3 linked regions of the Cricetulus griseus genome follow. The protein of the gene in region 3 interacts with the protein of the main gene of each other region in a biochemical or structural test. Links are inferred from orthologs where the notes say so. Each region holds a gene or a part of one and is shown on either strand. Other genes may lie near its edges.

Region 1 (3,653 bases), on a different chromosome or scaffold from region 3:
GCCTGTCTCACTGGAGAACAGCAATGGTGTTCATGGCATGGGGGGGGAGGGTGGTGGCCACATGTGTGAACATAGCATGTTTTTAGTATTTCCTAGTTTACATTTAAGCATCTAATTTTTTTTTTCAGTTGGTAGAGCTTGATAGCCAGGATGTGGAATATGCCACGATAAGTGAACTTTTTAAAGCATCCATGAAATATTTCAAGATTGTATCGATAAAGAGGATATGGAATCAAGACCTCTGGGAAACTTTTGAAAGGTGACATAATCAGACCTTGTTTGGGACTGTGTAGTTAAAGTATACTAAGAGGGCTCATTTTATTTTCACATTTATTTGGTACTAGGGTGCGGGGCATGCATGCATGTCATAAGGCAACTTGCTGGAGTCATTGGGTCTGCCCACGTGGGTCCAGACGATTGAACCCAGGCTCTCATGCTCAGCGGCAGCCATCTTGCTGGCCCAGTTTCTTGGTACTGAATCTCACATTTCTGTATATTAGGAAGAAGCTGATGATGAAGAATGACAATGAGATGCTGCTGTTTCATGCAACATGCCGTGTTCATGTGGATTATATCTGTAGAAATAATTTCGACTGGATCATAAATGATAGTCGGGAGACCAAATATGGAAAAGGTTTGTGCTGGGCTAGAGACAGCCATGATTCCAGCTCCGCACATGCTTTTGTTGAGATGTTCTTGGCATTAGTTTGTAAACTTGCATGTCTGGGCTCTGGTGGCCCTGGAAGAAAAGAAGCTAAGTTACCTTCAGCCTGTGTTAGGACAGGTCTCTTGACTTGGGGGTGTGGGTGTTAGGCCTTGGCTCTAGGTCTTCGGTCTTGTTTCTCTCTGGGGACAACTGAAGGTCTTCATTCTTGTAAACTGCTCCATCTACTGGCTGTATTGTCTGCCGTTAGCACTTACTGGAGATGGCTCTTCCTGTCCTATGTCTGTGACTGCAGAGCTTTTCAAACTATCTTTCTGTTGTCACCAATGGATTCCAGTTAAGAATGGGAAGAGGGGCCGGGAGTTGGTGGGGCACGCCTTTAATCTCAGCACTGGGGAGACAGAGGCAGGCAGATCTCTGTGAATTTGAGGCCAGCCTGTTCTACAGAGCAAGGCCCCTTCTCATGTCAGCCACATTTTTATTTTTAAAGAGGTTTGCCCTCCTTTTTTTTTGTTGAGGAATCATTCACTCTTTGTGGGTGTTTGAGGAATGTGACGTAGTCAGACCCGGCAGCATAGTACAGTGTAGAATTCTGTGGCGGGGACCAGACCTGTCTCAGGGAAAAATAATACAAACTACCTGGGAATGGTGGCGCATGTTTTTAATCTCCGTACTTGGGAAGCAGAAGCAGGAAGATCGCTTGAGTTTGAGTTTAGCCTGGTTCACATAGAGAGTTCCAGGACAGCTAGCACTACCTAGCGAGACCTTGTCCTAGATAAAATAAAACAATGACAAACTGAGGTGCTGGGGACAACTAGGAAGGAGGGGGGTAGGTAGCAATGACAGCTGGAGCTATTGGTCACAGACAGGTGGTGGGATAGTAGTAAGTGTTATTGGCAGATGTTTTTCACCCATACCAATGTCTGCTTCTCTGTATCCCGTTATAACCTATACTCATTGATAAATAACAATTTACCACTTTTTCTGGTTATTTCTAGGAAATTACTTTGCAAAAGAAGCCATGTATTCCCACAAGAATTGTTCATATGAGGCCAAAAACATTGTTATGCTTGTCGCCCGAGTCTTGGCTGGAAATTCCATTGAAGGAAATATGAGATACAGTAGCGCTCCCGCCCTCTATGACAGCTGTGTGGATAGCAGGTTGAATCCCTCGGTCTTTGTCATCTTCCAGAAAGAGCAGATTTACCCAGCGTATGTGATTGAGTACACGGAGCTAGAGAAAGAGAAAGCCTGCATAATTAGTTAGAAAACGATGTATACTGCCGCGTCGAAGCCTTTATGTTGACTTCTAGGACCAAACCATCCCCAGACAGTAGTTAGACTTTTGCATTTCCTTGCTACATTACCTAACGTCTTAAATCAGCCATTCTCAAACTTCTCTCCAGATTCACAGTCCCTGGCCAGGCAGTTTTTTTGTAAAAATTGCCCCCATGACTCCAGCATTTTGAAAAGATTTCGTTGTCTTACATTCCTAGTGAGGCTGGTTTCTAAATTGTCTGTAATCTTATCTTTCCCATCTACTCTTTGTTTTTATTGTGTATGTAGGTAGCATTGTTTCGGTTTCGCTTAATTTGAACTGGATATTAGTTTGAGAAATTTGAGAGACATGTAATAATGTTTATGGAAATAGGGACATATAAGAAGACATTGCAGCTTTGAGTAGAAAACTTGCTGAGGAAAAAAGTTTAAAGGTTAAATTTAAACGATATTGAGACACAAAAGCAGTACGCAATACTATATATTACCATGCGATGAAACTGACCTGAGGAACACATTTCTGTCTCTCTGCATTTACTTAGAAGACAGACTCCATGGAGTTGACTCTGAAATACAGTGATAAGCACCCCTAAGTATAGTTCAGAAGCAACTAACTGGAGTTAATTGTCCATTGAGGCTCTTGGTATCCGAGTTCTAATTCATGTGATTACAGAGGATGCTTCTTGCAGGCTTTTGTGTAATCATCCGGATTTTTTTAGTAAGATTAAGTTGCAGTACTGATAAAACCTAGTGTTATTGGGATTTGTGTACAGTGACAGAAGGGTTGTCAGAAGCCAGGAAAGGCCTTCCCTGTTGGAAGGGCCTTGTAAGGAGGCAAGACTGGTTTGTTGGTGAGCGCAAAGCAGTGCAGAGAAAGCAGTGTCCCACATAGACCTTTACTGTTAGCCACATCTTTTTGAAAGCATAGTGGGTGTGGGTTTTTTAGAGCATTTAGGACGCCCGGACCAATTTTTTTTCCTTGCTTACTGTGTACAGATCAGGTCCTTCCTTCCAACCTCCCTTTCTCAACGTTCTGTCCCAGTTGCCAGAGTTTCCTGGCATATTTTTTCCTTTCCTGTTACATTTTCTTCCAGCAGACATGTTCATCGTTAATGGGCATTTGATCAGATTTTTCATCAGTTGCTTTACTTTGAAAGTCTCCAATAATGATATATTGAGAATTTTTTAGAGTGGGATTCTTGTCATTCATTGCCACAATTTTTCTTTTTTAATTCACTGATTTTTCTTTTCTTTTTCTCACGTGGTATCTTCTATTTTGGAATACTCATTCTCTGACATAGACTTCATACTGTAGACACGTAGTGCATCTAACTACTTGGCAAGCTAACTTCTAGTTGGATATTTACCTGCCATCTCCAGTTCAACAGGCTCAAAATGGAACACTCTATTTGCCTGCTTCAAAGTGATTCACCCCCAAAGATTCACCTGCCCCAACCCCATAAACAGTATCACTTGCTCCCTGATACACAAGCAGAAAGCTAGAATTCCTCCCAGGCTCCTAGCTTCCCCCAGTCTGAGTCGTTCCTAAGCCCATTCTGAAGCACCTAGTTCAATTCTGTGGGTCTCAGTGAACTGTTCTGTCGGGGTTCCCACCCCTCCCCGCACAAGCAATATCTGTTTTAATCTCTAAAGTGCAATTCAGACATATATTCTCCATATAACTCCATTAATTAAAAAAAGTTAATATAAT
Region 2 (3,653 bases), on a different chromosome or scaffold from region 3:
AGGTATATTCACTTTGTATTGTAAAATTCCACCTTGGTAGAGAAGGAAAAACAGTGTATCATAAGAAACAATAGTAAAAGCAAGTCAGCTTTGACATTACGCCGCATTGTGGTGCTGACATTCCCCTTAAATTCCGACATCATAACTAAATCGTACATGGACCTTTCAGAACGATGGCCCTTACCACCTATGGCAAAAGTCCATTAAGCATTAAAATTCTGCAAACGCATGCTATGGAACAAGCCTTTAAATATTTCCCATAGCCTAACAACAGAGTGACAGTTGTTACTGCTATTCCGTTCTTCTGTGTTAACCAGAGCCCCCAGGGATCTAAGTATGTGGCTTTAACAAAGTAAAGACCACACAGGCTTCAGGATGTGGTAACAGGAACCACTTCTTGAAGTCAGAGATGGTGGTTTCCAATCATGTGTTTCATCATCACCCAATTTTCCCCGACCACATTAATAAAGCAAGGCTGGAGGCTTGACATAGGCCTCTGGGCCTCTGTTCCAGTTTTGTAGACATGCTGTTAAGTTTCAGAAAACAAGGTTGGTGATGACTTTATGGAAAGTTCCTAATTAAGCTCTTGGCTAGGATGAGAAGCTAATGTTCTCTCAGCTGCCACAGTGCAGATCCCAGGAGATGCAGTGACCAAAGAATGCCAATGTACCCTCAAGTGTGACGTGTACAGAAAAAGCACTCTGCAAATCCTGCTTTCCTCCTCCTTGTCCGCCATCTGAAACACCATGCATGCTTTGTGAACATCGACAATCCACTGTTCGTATTTCTGAGTGCCGAACTCTCTATTTTGAATTTGAAATAACTTTCCTAGAGGGATAGATAAATAAATAAATAAATAAATAAATAAATAAATAAATAAATAAATAAGATTGGTCCTGGCATGCCTCATCCTCTAATTTTCTTTCTTATTCATTATAAATAGGATATTTATCCTGAAGTAGACTGCGTTTTCAGCTGTATTGTGTAAGTAAGATGATTATTTACTAAATGACCCAAAGTCAAAGTTTTTTACATTCATAATTGCATTTAATTTTTTCTAATTTCATGAGGTCAATATTTCATTTTAAAAAGAGGAAACAGGTTCAGAAGGACCGAGTAAGGGGATGGAGAGATGGCTCAGCAGTTAGGTTATTGCAGAGGACCCCAGTTCAGTTCCCAGCACTCAGGTAGGGTGGCTTCCAACCACCTGTATATCCAGTTCCAGGGGATTCAATGCTCTCTTCTGGCCCCTGGGAGCAACAGCACTCGTCCCACACAGTCATATGCACATACACATAATTTTTAAATAAATCTTTTACAAATGGAAAACTAGGTAATTTACCCAAAGTCACACAATGTGGGTATGGCAAGAATTCAAACTCAGCTATGTAGTGTCTGAGCTCTACAAGCTTAAGGGACTGACAGTCAAAGTAATTCAGAAATTAAAAAAAAAAAAAAAAGAACCCGGGCTGGAGAGATGGCTCAGAGGTTAAGAGCACTGTCTGCTCTTCCAGAGGTCCTGAGTTCAATTCCCAGCAACCACATGGTGGCTCACAACCATCTATAATGAGATCTGGTGCCCTTTTCTGGTGTGCAGGCAAAACACTGTAAGTAAATCTTAAAAAAATAAAATAAAAAAACACAACTTTGCCTTTAAAACCAAAGACACCATTAGAATAGTAGGCCTCAAGAGCTTCATCGGAGACAGGTATATAAAAATGGGAGCACCGTACCCAACAAAGCCTTTCTGCTTTCCTATGAGGTCAGAGACCTCACCTCAGAGAAGCACTCAGCACCAACCACTCAGCAGAGCACAGAGATGTTTGTCCTGGATCATCTGTGTGCACAGCTGGAGCTAACTCTAGCTGCTTGATTCAAACATGCAGGGCCCACAGTGATTCAGACTCTGAGGAGATGCCAGCACAGGGAGAAGGTGAAGTGGGAACGGCCACAGCAGTCTGGTCTACTAGTTTAGTCTCCTGGACTTCTTGAGACAATCACAGTACAGCAAAATCCAAAGACCAGAATTGCACTTATGCGTTAAACGTTTCCCCTCACCCATTCATTTTCATAATGTAGAACAAAGGGCTGGTACCCAACAGGTGGTAGTGTCGAGCTTTTCCCTGCCTCCACCCCACAGACAGGGTCTCAGTATGTAGCCCAGGCTGGCCTCAGACTCAGAACCTTACAGATGGTGCCATCACACCCAGTTCACAATGAGATGCTTTCCCAGTTCCTGAACAAATGAGGTGGCTACCAACAGTTACTCGATGTGAGGAGGTGGGAAAGTGTTCTATGCTACTAGGAAATGAGTTATCAGCAGGACTTGGGCAGTCGGAAGTGTGGATGTTAGCTACAGTGAGAGGAATGATAAAGAGAACGTGACACAATTCTATCCCCGTCGGTCCATTCATCACTTTAGTCAGACCATGTCATCCTGCTCCTGGGTGACCCATGTCCCTCCTAACTGGTGTTTTTACCACCTGCCTGTTTTCTCAGTCCATTCCCTACCAAGTAGCTACAGAGAAGTTCCGAAAACTGTGAGGAGAGAGCATGCTACCCCACTACTTCAGGGCCTTTAATAGATTCACTGCCTGAACTCCTCTCCCAGCGCTGTCCTTCCATACTGTTTAAGTGTCTTCAGGATGCTCATGTGGCAAAAGGCTAGTCCCCAGTGTGGTGAGGTTAGGAGATGGTGACACTCTCAAGAGCTGAGTTCAGTGAGAGGATGTTAGGTAATTGGGGACATTGCTCTTGGACGGGATCAATGCAGATCTAATGGAGTCCCAGTGGTGATATACACCTTGGGAGGAGGAGGCAGGAAGTTCCCAGCTCAAGGTTAGCCTGCACTGTATGCAGAGATTCTGTCTCAAAAGAAGAAAAGAGCCGGGCGGTGGTGGCACGCGCCTTTAGCCCCAGCACTTTGGAGGCAGGGGCAGGTGGATCTCTGTGAGTTCGAGACCAGCCTGGTCTATAAGAGCTGGTTCCAGGACAGGTTCCAAAGCCACAGAGAAACCTTGTCTCAAAAATAAAAGAAAGAAAGAAAGAAAGAAAGAAAGAAAGAAAGAAAGAAAGAAAGAAAGAAAGAAAGAAGGAGGGAAGGAAGAAAGTAAATTTAGAAGATGATTTAAAAAGACTATTTTTCAGATATGTATTTCCAGATGGATCAACTTTGGGTTTAGAAAGAAAATAAAGCAAAAGAGAATGAAAGAATTCTTATAAGGTACCTAAATAACCAGGAATTAAGGAAGTGTATATATGAGCCAGATATGGTGGTTCATGCTAGCAATCCCAGGACTCAGGAGGCTGAAGAAAGAGGACTCCGCAAGTTCAAAGCCAGCCTACTCACATAGCAAGTTTCAGGCCAACCAGGGATACAAAAAGAGACCTTGTCTCAGAAACGGGAGCTAGAGAGACAGCTCAGTGGTTAAGAGCACCAGCTATTCTTCCAGAGAATATGGGTTCAGTTCCCTGCAGATGTGCAGCCCACAACTGTCTGTAACTCTAGTTCCAATGTAACTTACATATGTGGTGCACTTACATACATGCAGACAAAAACACAGAAAAATAAAAATAAATCTTTTTAAAAGGGACTGGAGAAAAGAAAGGTGGAAAAAGGATGAAGAGATAAAGAAGATATATAGAGAGGGTAG
Region 3 (3,653 bases):
TGACAAACTGAGTTGGTACCACGATTCTCCTCTTATACACACCCTCCGTAACTATCTCCTTGAGCACAACAGGGCGGGTGGGATAGGCTGTTACTGCACAACAAACTTACAAGGAACAGAGGAGGTACACCGCAGGAGTAAGGAAGACATCAAACCAGATAAAAGAATTAATCAAGAGGGCGATTATCCTGCCGGGGGAGGGGCAGACAGGATACTTAACTGGGTAAAAGACCTCAATAGAGGAAAGCGGGCCTTCCTAGATAGAGGGAGAAATGTTCCTGCTGGCTTGAGGAAGCATATGATGCCAAGTTGAAAGAAGGCCTCATCAGCCAGCCAGTAAGAAAGTGTACACTTGATCTATAGCCCCAAGGAACTTAAACTCTGCCTGTAGTCAGGTATGCTTGGAAAACAGCCCAGCCTGAAGCTAGACCATTGATGCCTTGTCAACAACAGGGAGCCACACCCAGATACTGAGCTAAGGGAACTGTGGGACAATAATCAGATGTTCTCCAAAGCCCCAAATTTAGGTAAGCTATCGCAGAGCATAGAAATACAGCGTGTCTCCGGGACACTTCCAGCCCCAACTCTGTGAGGTCCAAACTACTATCAACGCTGAGATATTCACACACACAGCAGCACCCTCGTCACGACTCACCTCCAGAAACTCAAACTCGTCCCCTTTGGACAGGGTGAGCTCAACCTCCGCCTTCAGGTTCTGCATCTCACTCTTCTTCTTGGCAAGAACCTGGTAGATGCTGTCCAGCTTTCCGTGGATCCGCTTCTCCTCCTCCTTCAGCTTACGCATCAAGTTGGTCTCCGCTGAATCAAGGATAGCCTTCATTTCCATATATTCTTGCCTCAGTTGTTCCTTTTTCCTGTTCATAGAGTCCTACAAGGCAAAAATGAAGGGGCTCCTGTCAGATGGGTGAAAATGCTAAGGCCGCATTCCTGTGTGTCGGAGAGAGGGGAGCACCAGGAACTGTATGACACTTCATGGCACCATTCTAGGCAGCCATGCCTCTGGAGGCAGAGGCAGGCAGATCTCTGAGTTCAAGGCCAGCCTGGTCTACAGAGTGAGTTCCAGGACAGCCAGGGCTACAAAGAGAAACCCACTCTCAACAAACAAACAAAACAACAAAAAGAATGTTAACAAGCACAGCCAGGTATGGTGACTCACAACTGTAATCCCAACACTTGGGAGGCTGAGATAGGAGGACCAAGAGTTCAAGGTCATCCTTGGCTTCATAGCATACTTGAGGCCAGCTTGGGTTATGTGTGACCCTTGTCTCCAAACTGGGGTGGGAGATGAGGGGGAGACAACTGTTCACAAGCATCATTGTTTGAAACAGCAAAAAGTGAGCTGGTCACAGTGGCACAGATTTATTATTCCAGTTCCTCTGGAGACTGAGGCAGGAGGGACACTTGAGCTATCTGGGGGTGGGGAAGCTAAGTACAGGAGAGACTTGATGCAAAGACTGAGAACCATCCTAGGATGAGACATTAAACGATAAACTGGAGGTACATGTGGATCCAGCTCACAAGGGAAAACACATAAGCTATGTGATTCTTTTCACACAAAGCTTAGACACTGAGGGAATGGCGGTGTTTGCTACCAAGGAATGCATGCACAAACAAAAAGGCATAAATATGTAAACACACGGGAATGAATGAGCTTGTGTTTAGGGTATAAATGATTAGGGAATAAATATGATAAATTAGGAACGGGGAGGGATACACTGCAGACGTTAACATAACATTTTATTTTTCAAGACAGGCTTTCTCTGGGTAGCCCTGGCTGGCCTGTAACTCACAGACAGCCACCTGCCTCTGCCTCCTGAGTGCTGGAATTAAAGGCATGCACCACCACTGCCTGGCCCCTAGTAAATTTTTAAAAGAAGGCATGAAACAATTTCAAAAACTTCCGGAAGAGGATTATTCCCTAGAACTCTCTTTTTGAGTGTTCCACGTGGCTGCTGCGCATTTGAAATGTGCCAAATTCAAGAAAAGATCTATCATGACTCTTAGTAGACACTGGATGTCAAAGACTTGATACCAGACAGCAGTGGTATCCCCTTTAATCCCAGCACTTGGGAGGCAGAGGCAGGTGGATCTCTGTGAGTTTGAGGCCAACCTGGTCTATAGAGCTAGTTCCAGGACAGCCTCCAAAGCCACAGAGAAATCCTGTCACAGAAAAAATAAATAAATAAAAACAAAACAAGAAAATCAGAGATGTCTGGAATGTTTCTGGTAGACAGTGTTGCTTCAAAGGTTGTAGTTTTGAACAAACTTCTTGGTTAACCTCAATAGTTTAGAATCAAACATGACAAACACAAATACTGTACACCAAAAGAGTGGAATTCAACTTTTAAAAAACTGTTACATTTATTATTAATCACTATTATTTTGTTGTTGTGTGCACACTCCCCCCAGGAGGTCAGAGGGCAACTTTCAGGAGTTGGTTCTCCTCTTCCTCTGGTCTTGGGGATCAAACTCAGGTTGTCAGGCTTGTGCAGCAAGCCCCTTTACCCACTGAGCCATTTCACTGAGCCTCTCATCCAGCCCTTCCCACTACCTCCTCTGTGAACACCAGTGTCCTTCAGTGTTCATTTCCTCTTTTGCTCTTTAGTAAGAGAACACCCCAGGAGTGTCAAGTGGGTATACAGCTTCTCAGACTACATTTCCCAGACTACCCTGCAAATGGGCTTAGCCAGGGTGGCTAAGTGGCTAAATTGCCTCCCGTGAGGCAAGGCTAGAAGTAGTATGTGCAACACCACATTGATTGCTTAAGAGGAAGTTGCTTGTTGTTGGTATCTTCCATCTTGCTTCCCTTTTCCCAGGCTAGAGCAAACAGGTAAAGGTGACCCAGAGTAAGGACCCAGTTTGGGCTGAATTCTGCCATCTTGGTGGTAACTGCTATATGACCCTAACACAAATCCCAAACCCTACATGACATGTTAATAGTTGTTATTATTATTATTTTAGAAAATCTAGGTACATTCCAGTTGGCCATGGGCCACCTTTGCCTATCTTAGCACAAAAAAAAAACCCCTTCCCTCCTGCCTTGTGACACAGGGATCGGGGGGATCCTCTTGTTTTGCTACTACTTAACATATCCTTCTGCCAATAAATCCTTAATATATTACAGCCTGTGCAATCCTGGATCTGCCAGCATCTTTGTTCTTCAGTACCTTCTGCCTTGACAGCCAGTTTCTATAATAGCCTTTGGCTTAAAAAAAAAAATCCAGCTTCAATCAAAGGCATGAGAGCATCAAACTGTGGAGTAGTGGGACAGTAGGAATGTTCATTTGGAGCAAAGCCATGCTAAGGGTCAAGAGTTGCTCTTGTGTGGACTTAGGTTGTTAAACTGAACAAAATGAACCACCTTATTGATTTGCATTTAAATGGATCCTAATCCTAGGAGGTTAGCCTGCCCTCCAACCAACCAATATTCATAATTCTACCTTCACCCTGTAGGTCTCACTATCTTCTCAGAGGAGTTGTGGTTGCTTTGCGTGTGTTTCGGGGCGGGCGGGGGGGGGGGGAGTAGGGGGGGTTGAAACTTGCATCTCCACCAACACAACTGAAGCCATCAATGAAGGCACAGTTGCTGCATCTCAGCAATGGTATTCTTAAAATTCCAGCTCCTTTCTTTC

Evidence for each region.
Region 1: of the proteins of Trim25 (region 3) and Zc3hav1, one has a biochemical effect on the other in vitro, tested with the Homo sapiens proteins (2 studies listed by BioGRID). The link is inferred for Cricetulus griseus from reciprocal best matches to the Homo sapiens genes TRIM25 and ZC3HAV1.
Region 2: of the proteins of Trim25 (region 3) and Ddx58, one has a biochemical effect on the other in vitro, tested with the Homo sapiens proteins (5 studies listed by BioGRID, with this or other methods). The link is inferred for Cricetulus griseus from reciprocal best matches to the Homo sapiens genes TRIM25 and RIGI.

The regions. Positions count from the first base shown.
Region 1 is NW_023276806.1:189,850,548-189,854,200, forward strand, and holds part of Zc3hav1 (zinc finger CCCH-type antiviral protein 1), read left to right. Parts: intron 1-128; coding exon 129-259; intron 260-500; coding exon 501-634; intron 635-1,662; coding exon 1,663-1,931; 3' UTR 1,932-3,653.
Region 2 is NC_048595.1:102,341,176-102,344,828, reverse strand, and holds part of Ddx58 (antiviral innate immune response receptor RIG-I), read right to left. Parts: intron 829-3,653; coding exon 671-828; intron 1-670.
Region 3 is NC_048600.1:102,146,031-102,149,683, reverse strand, and holds part of Trim25 (E3 ubiquitin/ISG15 ligase TRIM25), read right to left. Parts: intron 890-3,653; coding exon 656-889; intron 1-655.